3 linked regions of the Caenorhabditis elegans genome follow. The protein of the gene in region 1 interacts with the protein of each later gene in a pairwise test. Each region holds a gene or a part of one and is shown in the gene's direction. Other genes may lie near its edges.

Region 1 (3,754 bases):
GATGGCTTTGAAATTATTATTTTCCACTAGGCCAAATTCAAAATTCTTCGTTGAACGTTTTCAATTAATTTTCCGGGCGAGCATTGAAAATATATGTATTACTGTAGTTCTCTTAGTACGCAAGTTTTTTAATGCAGCATATTTGACGACATATTGTGTAACAGATTTTTGAAACCATCTTTTAAACTAAATGTTTTTTCTTCTTTTAATTTTCAACAATTGCTTTGAAATTTTGCACCATTTACTCTTTTACGAAATTTCTGTCTTCTATTCTTGGCAGTTTTGAGTGTTTCTAAACTCGGCATTTTCATTGCTAAACACGTATTTACTCAGCTTTTGCTTGCCCCCGAACAAAAAAGTTTTATGATCAGTTCAGTTTGTCAGAGCACCAAAATGTCAACACAGAGCTCTCGCTCTTCGATTGGCACTTTACGAGTGAAGTCAAATACTGATTTGATAGGCTTCTCAATGTGGAGGAATCTTTTGCGACGATCGCTTTCTTTTTTTGTTCACCTGTTCGTACTATTCAATTCTTCAGCAGAGTGATGTTAACCTTGATCGTGTCATGTCGACCTGAATAGGAAATAGATGAATCGTATAGTTTGTGTGTATGTGAAGCACTTTTCTCGTTCATTTACATTTTCGAATATCAAATTTAGGTGTGGTACTGCGGCGCGGGAAAAAACGCGAAAAACAGATTATACCACCCCCAACTCTCCTCGTGACGTGGCCCAGTGATTCGTGAATCCTATATTAACCGCTGAAATTGGTCATTTATTATCTCAACCGGTTTCGTGTTTCTGTTCACTAATTCGTACGATTTTCTGTGTTCACCACACCTAATCCAATTAGAACTCAACAACTCGATGAGTCATGCGTAGGCGTTTTGGAATTTCATTTTTTAAATGTTTGTTAATACATTTCATTCTCTCCAAATTCTCACTTACATCATTAGTCTCAATCGTTACAACTAAATTGACCCGCTTAACTTGAAAATCTTTCAAATAATATGCTCAATATATTCTGCATTCCTTATTCTATTTGTTATCAGTTATTATACGCGACCATTGCCGCTCCCCATTCCTCCGACTGCTGCCTATCGTGAGTTTGACCTGAATTTCGTGTGGGAAATTGGACTGTTATATGAATTTAATTTCTATTTCCGAAGTTTAATTATCGATTACTAAAATTGATTGCCATTTCTGGAATACTCTTTGAAGAAATTTACCAATTTTTCTTTTAACACAGATTTTCTTGAATGACTATTCTATTCTATTTACAAAAAGTGTTAATTTTTTCGGAATTAGTTTCTTATAGCAGATTTCTTTGAACTTCATCAGTGTATTAAACCCAAAAAACAGTAAAATTTTCCTTCAAAGTATTTTGAAATCTTCAAAGGTTATCTGATCTTAAAATTATTGCCTATTGGTGTTACTCGCACAGCTGTTCGACTTTTTGTAGCGGAAGTGCGGACGAGCTATGGGAGCAAGGACAAACACAGAGCACACGGCGGCCGGAGCAGCCGGAGCACCCCCACTTTTTTGTTTGCTCGAATGCCTTGTGTCAAAAACTTTGGAGGATTTTCCATCTTTCCTCAGAGAGATGACTTTAGCTGTCTATCAGATGATGGCGACCTTAGATATCCCGATTTATAAGAATACTGAGACTTTTCTTCAACATCGTTAAACCTCAAAAAACATCCATTTGCGGTAGCAACTAATACGTAGTTGCTTCTGTTTTCCTCCGTTCGACCAGTTCTCTTTTTCTCTCTTTCCCAAATGTCCATTCTATTCTCTCACTTTTTGTCCACACGTGGCCGAACGTTGTAAGGGTTTAGTGTGTTCACAGGCGGCATTATACGTTTTTTCCTACGATTCATAATTTTTGTTGAATATCCTGAACAATTTTCTAAACCTTTAATATTTTCAGATCATCAGAAATCAATGGATTTGTCTGAGGATCAAATTCGCGGACTACCGCACCATGAGCTTCTTGGTCATTTCTTGCAAATGCGCGAAGAGTTTAACGAGTTCCAGACAAGTTCCGCGGAAATTGAGAAAATGATGGATTCAGAATTGGATGATTTGAAAACACAACTGAAAAAAGCAGAAACCAGAGTACAGCAGATGACCACAGAGCAAATTAGGAACAAGGTTGGTACTATTTTTTACATTAAAATTGAAAAAAAAAACTTTATAAAATTTTTCAACTATAATTTGAATTTTGTGAATTTTAAAGGATCGACAGGACGATTCCCGTGTACAATTTGCACAAGTCGAAGAGCAATTAAGACGAGAAAACTCACATCTTCATGAACAATGTGAAAGTCAGAGAGAAAGAATTCGAAAACTGGAACAGAGAAACGATGTGCTCGAAACATCAGAAAGAAATAAGGAATATCTAGCATCTGATCTCGGATCGAAACTGGATCATGCTATTGAAAAGATAGCAATGTTGGAAAGTGAGCTTTATGAACGGCAAGTTGCTGCTGAAGAAATGCATAGATTACGAGAAGAACAACTTCGAACAACAGAACGGCCACGTTTGATTGTAGAACCATTGAGGAATGATCCAGAAATTCTGCCGGACGAGCCATCCCCAGGTCCAAGTAAAGAAGAGTTTAAAATGAGTAAGTATTTGTCGCATTTTGAGAATGAAAATAACTAGTACTATTTAAGGCTCGGAAGATGTTTTCATGGAAGACGTGCAGCACCACGAAGATGTTCGAATGGAGGAAACTATTGCAAAAATTGACGAAGTGCGCATCGATGACAATAAAAATATTCAAGAAAAAGTACGTAAATTTTCTTTTTTTGGTGGATTTTTGAAAGTAAATATCCAAATATTAATTCAAAGAAGACCTGCAAATTTCGATCAATTAATAGCTTCACACCTTATTTCGGAATGAAAAACATTTAGTCGAAAAACTCTTGCAGCGAGTTCTAATTCTTTTTTCCCTCACAACTATAAACGATAGCATCTCTAGATGCAGAATAGACCGAAAAAACAATATTTGCTAACCCATTTATAGTTCTCAGCCAACATTTACATAGCTTTCAGAGCCAACGAGTATCTACCGGTACGGGCGCCGGTGCTTGCATCAATCGAATCGTCAAAGACCTGATGACAAAAGTCGAGCGGCTCGATTCAATTTTATCGACGATTCGCGTGAGCAACAACTCGTCTAACAACAATTCCAGTCATCTTACAACGACACGGGCTTAACATTTCATTTTTTGGTTTTTCTCACCTTTCTCGCATACTGTGACTTTTCATTCACTCAGGGATCCTCCATTTCATCATTTCCTTCGTTTCTTTCCGTTATTATTCTTTTCCATGACATCCTGTATCATGCTTATGTTTTATTCCCACCCAATTGGTATTAGACCCCGATTTTATTTGCCCCGCCTTACTGTTGCTCAATATAAGTTCCACGTTCGCCATTCACCCACATTATTTTCCAAATTTCTAAAGTGCCTACATATTTCTAATTTTTCTGTTAAAAATTTATATATCCGTCACCATGAATAGTTAGTAAAGGAATGATTTCAAGAAAAAGTGAGCAAAATAAATAAATAAATACAATTTGAATTAATCTTTCTAGCAATTTTTGGAGACAGAGAACGCCAGCATTCGTCCTATCACCGAGTTGTCACAACAGCACTCAATCGATTTTTCTGAAACTGTCAGAATACAAACATCCTTTCGTGAACGTGTCTGGCAAGTGAAAATGGTCAAATCCGAAGAAAATGCG
Region 2 (3,754 bases), on another chromosome or scaffold:
TTATGCAATAACTCGTCCTTCCACTGGTCGTTCACCGAAATTGATGACAATGGCTGACTTGAGTAAACGTTTCCATAAAGTTTCAATCGATGAAGCCAAGGAGGTTTGGAAGCAGCAATACGATTGTGAGTGTTTTTAATGTGAAAACCATGTTGTAAATTTCTGAGTTTCAGCTGCTGCTAACATGTGTCAACACAACTACGTCTACGGCAAGTGTCGAACCGAATCAAACGGAACTTATTGCGAAGTCGGTCGTCGTACTCGTACCTATTTTGTGCTATCCGGCTCTGTTCTCTCCGTTTGGCCAATTGTGGAAGAAGTACTTGCTGGAAGTGATCGAAAGTCATCTCGAATGCAAGTGATTCGTGTACGAACTGAACAGGATCAGAAGATTGTTGGTAAGTTGGTGGTTTTTTTTGGAAAGTAACAACCTATAGAGATGTTTGATCAACGGCCTTTTTCACTTACTGATCAACGACAATAACATGTGTTGTTTGTTTCCATTTTTATGTTAGAACTGTTATCAATACAAGATTTTTGATTGAGCGCAGACATTTTCGAATATAATTTCTGAACGCTACTATTATTCCCACAATAAAAACCAATCAATAAATCATTCAGGCCTTCTCGTCCTGCCCACACACGTCCGCCATTTGGTGCAGCAACTCGAAACACATTGTGGTCGTAGTTACGTGAAAACTGAACCCTGATCGATATCAGTTTTCTCTCCAAATATTTGGTTTTCTTTTTTCAGTTTATTTTTTTTTTAGATTCCCATTTTGTTATCCATTTTCAGTACAGATATATATCTGCAGATACCACACATTCTCTCTTTTTTGTCATTTTTCTTCACCGAATATCTGGTTTTCTTCAATTTCCCATTTCATCTTTCCCGCTGAGAATTGTTTTTTAAAGTTTTCAATTCCCACCAACATTTGTTATAATTATTTTCTCCACATTGTTTCTCTTTCTTCTCATCATTATCATAACTTTTCTAATTGTATTAATTTTGGCTTAATTTTCCATTTTCCTCTCCCTTTCTTCCATTTCCCAATTTTCTGGTTTACAGGAATTTTTAAAACAATTCTTTGACAAGTTTTATTTCGGAACAGGCCTCCCCATTTTTCCTTTGGAGTTCACTAGCTTTAACACATGTTTTCTCTTACAATTCAATACATTTTTCATCTTTTTCCTCAATTTTTGGCCGGTCGATCCTTCCCATCAATTTCACCAGGTTTCAAGGTCAATTTTGATAAGAACATAAACTCAAAACTGCCAACCATTTATCAGTTTGACCTGGAAAATTTGATGGGAAAATGGAAAAAAAATAAATCGTCCAAAAATTGAATTTTTCTCGAGGTCTACCTGGATCTTTTTTTTTCTTTTTTTCCCTTTCGATACATTTGTGTTATTTGAGACGTGTAATAAAATGAATTGTTGATGAATTTAACGAATTGTTTGGAATTGTCGAGATTTATCAATTTCAATCATACTTTTTTTCTAGATAGTTTGATAAAATTGCAATTCCGTATAACGAAGATAATATAGAGAAAAAAACAAAATTAATTGTTTTTTTTTTCAAAATTTCTGATTGACCAGACTCGAAATTTTGCAATTTTGAGCAAAAAATGCAGTACTCGGTCTTGACACGACAATTTCTCTTTTATGCGAGAAGATATGTGCCTTTAAAGAGTACTGTAATTTCAAACTCGTTTCTGCCGATTTTTCATAGTAACACATTATTTTTGGCTAGAGAATCACAAAAAAAAAGAAAATTGCAAAAAGACTTAAAATTTTAGATGTCTTCTTGGTGTTCATCAGAAGATGCTCATAATCAATCTTCAACTCCTTCCACACGTTCCCGTAAATCATCTTGGCTTATTTCAAAAATTGATGAAAATGAGATTGATAAAGAAGTTCAAGAGATGATGGATGATTGGAGACGCAGCAATGAAGCAGAAAACCACGTGGAATGCATAAAAGCTGCATTGGAGTACTGTAGAGATAAACTAAAGGAACTGCTCATAGATGAAGAAGATACAGAAATGGATGGGAAAGAGACAAAGACGAAACCTAGTTGGTGTTTCCTATTTTTATGTAAAAAATGTGCAATATTACAGTCAACATTGTCTCTAACACAGAGTTCCCGGAGGATCGTGATGTTCTTGGAAATCTTGTGAATTGTCTTGATAGGCAACAAAAAGCAGCTCGACAACAAATGTATTTCGACAAAATTGTACAATTGGGACTGGAGAGGCAGGCTTTGCAGGTATGAAGACAGTGAATATGGTTTAAAGGCAAAATTTTGTTATTTTATACGGTACCCGGTCTGGAGAAATTGTTTTTTTTGCACATGCAGAAAGGTGTGCGCCTTTAAAGAGTACTGTAGGTTAAAAATTTTGTCTGCACAATTTTCATCGATATTGTATTCGAAAAAAAATCACTCATAAATTTAGCAATTCGTAAGAAAAAATTTTGCAGCAACGAAAGTTTGAAACTACAGTAATCTTTAAAGGCGCACGCATTTTCGAATTTAATACAGTTTGTCGTGTCGAGACCGGGCACTGTGTTTTTGCCGCAAAATTTTGCGTCAGGGGCCAAGTGCATCAAAAACTCCATGAATAGTACATAAATTAATTTATTTCGACGCTGTATGGTTTTTATATTTTCCAATTTAGAGTGAAAGTTTTCAGGATGAAGCTGTTGTTTCAACGTCATCTCCATTAGACGAGTGCCGTGCTGAAGGACATGAATTTGTAATGCAACCAGTTAGAGGTGGACATAATCCATGTTGTGAAGTTTGTATGCACACAATTTGGAGGCTCGTGCAATGGTGGAGGCGATGCAGAGGTATTGATAGACTTTAACTTCGTTCGAAGTAAAAAAAATATTTTGCCAAAATCACGAAAAAATCGAAACATTTCAATCCTGAATTACAGTAATCTTTTACAGTTTGTGGAATGCGTGCTCATGACAAATGCGCGGAAGAGGTGAAACGAGTGTGTGCCGGAGTTCTGTCAACTCGAGCAAAATTCGAATTAAACACAAATTTGTGTGAGGAACGAAGCCTCGCGGAGCAGGAATATCAATGTGCTGAATGTACTGCACCGATTTGCTTTGATGGAGTTGCTGAACAAGAAGCACGTCTTTGTGATTACAGTGGAGAGCTTTTTTGCCCAAATTGTCACTGGAATGATGTTTGGAGCATTCCTGCCAGGTAAGATCTCAGCTTTAAGAACACCTAAATTATTAAATTTCTTTAGAATAGTCCACAATCTCGACTCAACACCACGACCTGTCTGCCGAGCCGTCAAGCAATTACTTGCAATCATAGACCACCGACCGTTAATCGATATAAACGAGTCAACACTTTCGCTCATAAAATTTCATAAGGTAAAAAAGATTCTGGAGGTATGGGGAATTGAACCCCAACCCTCTCCCACAGGTGATTCGCAGTGTAAGCAAAATGCTTCGACGCACACAATGCTCGTGTTTGCGAAAATGTCTTGAGGTGGCTTAATCATGTCTTCGGGTAGTGGGGGTGGCTTATACAAGAACTGAAGTTATATTTTGAACTTTTTCAGCTGATATAAGTGAAAAAAAAGAAGCATAAATTGTTTTCGCAATGCCTCCTTTATGCTCGCGTTCGTTCGCAAAGACGAGCATTTTTCTCCATTTTTGCTCATGTTTTCAAGTACCCATTCGAAGCACGCGCGAACCTCGGATGAAGCATAAAACTCGTACTCGCGAATCA
Region 3 (3,754 bases), on another chromosome or scaffold:
GTGCATTATTTCTCATTTTTTCTTCTTCTTGTTTGCGGTTTTCATCTTGTTGTTGTTGTTTGTTTTTTCGATGTTTGAACGTTTTATGAGTCACGCATTGACCTTTTTCGCAATGGTTTTTGGCATTTTGTGAGGGTTCTCAGTGGATTTTAGGCCTAAATTTTGGGAGATTTCACGTGGTGTCAGGCTGTCTCATTGCGGTTTGATCTACGAAAAACGCGGGAATATTTTTCCAGAAAAATTGTGACGTCAGCACGCTCTTAACCATGCGAAACCAGATGAGATGTCTGCGTCTCTTTTCCCGCATTTTTCGAAGATCAAAACGAAATGGGACTTTCTGACTCCACGTGAGATTTTGCTTTTTTGTTCTGATTTTGCCCAAAAATTTGTTTTCTGACTTTTTTGCGCACTTGAGTTTTGCGTCAATGTCTTGAAAGGTCTCGGAAGGAAAATAGACGTGCCCGAGATCAGGCTCCGCCCACAAAATGGACGGAGATCCCAAAGGTCCATCTATTTACTTATTGTTTGTTAATCTGGAAAAATCGGATTTTCTTCAAAAGTTTTAAAATTTTTTCTCTAAAACTTTGAAATTTGCGCCGACGTAGCTTAGTAAAAGTGGGTGTGCCTTGTTAAGCTCCGCCCATAAAATGGACGGAGCTCCCAAAGGTCCATCTATTTACTTATTTTTTGATAATCTGGAAAAACAGGAATTTCTTTAAAAGGTTCACGTGGAGTCAGAATGTCTCATTTCGGTTTGATCTACATTAAATACGGGAGAAGAGACGCAGACAGCTCATTTGATTTCATGGTTAAGAACGTGCGGACGTCACAATTTTCTGGAACGATATTGCCGCATTTTTCGTAGATCAAACCGCAATGAGACAGCCTGACACCACGTGAAGGTTGAAGAACTTAGCTCTAATAATGAAATTCGCACCGACGAAACTGAGCAAAAGTTGTCGTAGTTTGTTAGGCTCCTCCCAAAAAAGGGGCGGAGCCTAATAGGTTCCTTTTTTTACAAAAATGTGGAAAAAAAATTCCGATACTTTCAAAGGTTTTGAATATTTATTTTTAAAATACAAACAAAACTTGATTATCGAAGTTCGGAAAAAATGCTCCGTTTAGGCTCCACCCACAAAAGGCGCGGAGCCTAACAGATTCATTTTTTGCAAAAAAAAAAAATGGAAAAATGCACGTGGAGTCAGAAAGTCCCATTTCGCTTTGATCTACGAAAAATGCGGGAGAAGAGACGCAGACTTTTCAACTGATTTCGCATGGTAAAGAGTGTGCTGACGTCACAATTTTTCTGGTAAAAAATTCCCGCATTTTTTGTAGATCAAACCGCAATGAGACAGCCTGACACCACGTGAAAATGTCGATATTTTCATTACTTTTAAATATTTCTTTTTAAAATATAAACATAACTTGATTATCAAACTTTGGAAAAAACTTGTCTGCCCGTTTAGGCTCCGCCCACAAAATGGTAGTTTATTTGCCCCTTTTTATTTTAGGAATTTGTTGGTTTTGGTCAAAAATCGAAGTTTTTGTATTTCGAGCCATTTTTTCTTTTAGAGGAGAGGATTAACCAAGGAGTGGGCGTGACCAATCAGGCTCCGCCCACAAAATGGCGGAGCTTATTACTACTTTTTTGCAAATCTAAAAAAATTCCCATTTTAGTCAAAAATACTTTCTTTTTTTTTTTTGAAAAAATTGAAAATGAATTTCCCGCCAAAATTTTTGAACTTCCTGTTTTTCGTTAGATTATAATTCAAATTTTTCTCCACTTTTTTTTTGGAAAAAATGTTTTTTAAAAAATAAATTTATTTTTTACCCTTTTTTTTAATTATTAGCGTAAACCTTTGTTTCCCCTAGAAACATCGATAATCAATTGCTACTTGCAGAACTTAAATATCGACTTAAAAATATTTTTCCATCACCAATGTCGCAATCGACATCATCCGAAGGAAGCGGTCCCGCAGCGAAAATCGCGAGGAAAAATTCACCGGAAAATGATCCGGAGACGGCGGAAATGTTCATTGTGAGTTTGAACACATTTTTACTGTGAAATATTGTATAATTCTGGAAAAACGACGTTTTTCTCAGTAGCGCGCACTTGCATTGGCGAGAAATTCAAAAATTCTAGTTTTTGGTTAAAAATCGTCGTTTTTTCTTTATCTAAATAGCTTTTTGATATTTTTAACTTCAGGTCGATGAAATAACGGACATGAGATACTCGACCACATGCCGTCAGTTGCAATTTCTCGTGAAGTGGGCGATTCCGGGCTCTGAAATGACGTGGCAACCGTTGGATGACTTCCCATTCGGGCTCAATCACTTTAGTATTCTGGATTATCGCAAAGATCACGAGGAAAAGTACGAAGCATGCTTGCAGAAACGTTAGTTTTTGTTGTTTTTTCTTGATTTTCTTTAATTTTTTCGTTGAAAATTGCAAAAATTCTGAACTTTTGCGTCATGGTGTACGTGCACAGCGGGCACGAGACTTGACGCGCAATTTAAAAAATACAATTTTTTCGCGAAAAAAACAGATTTTTCAACCTTTTTTCGTGGTTTTTCGAATTTTTTTCTTCAAAATTCAATTTAAAACGCATAAATTTTGTTAGAAAACCTATTCTACCCTGTTTTCTCCATAATTTATCGCAGAAAATTTCCAATTTTCAGTGAAATCTCAAAAAAATTAGATTTTCTTCATATTTTATTTTAAAAGCGTGTTTCAAACCTGCTTCAAATTAATTCTTAACCTAATTTCCGCATAAATTTCCTAAATTTTCAGAGCGGCGCTCAAAAGTCATGAAGGACGACGATCGAAGCTGGAATGTGAGCCGAAATGTACGAATTTATTGGAAAATTGTCAAATTTATGGATTTTTTTACTTAAAACTTGTGAATTTCACGCTTTTCTAACAAAAATTTGAATTAATTGTAAAAATATTGTTGAATCTGACGACGGAATTGCAGAAATCCCCGCAATTTGTCGTAAGATTCAGAAATTTTCAAATTTTTAGTCGAATCGCTCAAGAAATCGCTCAAAATCGTCGTCGAAACCTGCACAACGAACCGAGCCGATGACCCAACGCGAGAAATTTGACGCAATTCTTCAAATTTCCGAGATTTCCCTGGAAAAACAGTACAAACTTACCAATAAGAAGGTCCCGCGGCGATCACAGTTCACAGATCCGGATGCGCCGAAGAAAAAGTCAAAAGGCGCCCGCCATTATCGAGATCAAAATCTGAAAACCCTATTCAAATCCTCGCTTATCAGAAAATACAGAAAACCACAGGAGTCCGACGATGATTTGGAGCCCGATGTCGCCCAGGATTCACCCGAAAACACGCCCGCGCCGCCGACGAAATCGCCAGAAAGTTCGGGATTTTCGGAAAATTTGGAGAATTTGGGCGCCAATACGCCCTCGCCGAGCCCCGATTTTGAGGAAGAGCACTTGGAAAAGAAGCCGGAAACTGGGAATTTGACGGAAAATCGACCGAAAAGGGTACGGGATGCACCTTATCTTACGGAAAAATGCAGAAAAATTTGAAATTATCTCCAAATTGGCGTCAAATTAGGTGTTTTGGCGGTTTTTTGTGCAAACACCGCGAAAATACACCGAATCTTACGACAAAATACAAAAAATAGAGATTTTCTGCAAAAGGGCGTAAAGTTTGGTGTATTGGTTGATTTTTGCGCGTTAAAAATTGGATTTCACGACGAAATGTGTTAATTTTTGAAATTTTTGCCG

Evidence for each region.
Region 2: the proteins of nud-2 (region 1) and F20H11.1 interact in a two-hybrid assay, tested with the Caenorhabditis elegans proteins (one large-scale study listed by BioGRID).
Region 3: the proteins of nud-2 (region 1) and cec-2 interact in a two-hybrid assay, tested with the Caenorhabditis elegans proteins (one large-scale study listed by BioGRID).

Annotation. Positions count from the first base shown.
Region 1 is NC_003279.8:7,857,593-7,861,346, reverse strand, and holds nud-2 (Protein nud-2), read left to right. Parts: upstream 1-1,929; 5' UTR 1,930-1,943; coding exon 1,944-2,153; intron 2,154-2,238; coding exon 2,239-2,629; intron 2,630-2,678; coding exon 2,679-2,794; intron 2,795-3,060; coding exon 3,061-3,225; 3' UTR 3,226-3,591; downstream 3,592-3,754. Other genes in the region: apb-3 (AP-3 complex subunit beta), read right to left, coding at 3,601-3,754. UniProt on the Caenorhabditis elegans protein: Part of a complex with lis-1, which is recruited to the nuclear envelope by unc-83, where, in turn, it recruits dynein to the nuclear surface and regulates nuclear migration in hypodermal precursor cells.
Region 2 is NC_003281.10:6,590,221-6,593,974, reverse strand, and holds the start of F20H11.1 (Differentially expressed in FDCP 8 homolog), read left to right. Parts: upstream 1-1,799; coding exon 1,800-2,076; intron 2,077-2,120; coding exon 2,121-2,269; intron 2,270-2,693; coding exon 2,694-2,850; intron 2,851-2,952; coding exon 2,953-3,217; intron 3,218-3,263; coding exon 3,264-3,393; exon of another isoform or gene 3,394-3,442; intron 3,443-3,754. Other genes in the region: let-765 (Protein strawberry notch homolog), read left to right, coding at 1-125, 174-398, 622-710.
Region 3 is NC_003282.8:1,168,771-1,172,524, forward strand, and holds the start of cec-2 (Chromo domain-containing protein), read left to right. Parts: upstream 1-1,937; 5' UTR 1,938-1,939; coding exon 1,940-2,038; intron 2,039-2,206; coding exon 2,207-2,396; intron 2,397-2,791; coding exon 2,792-2,847; intron 2,848-3,022; coding exon 3,023-3,508; intron 3,509-3,754.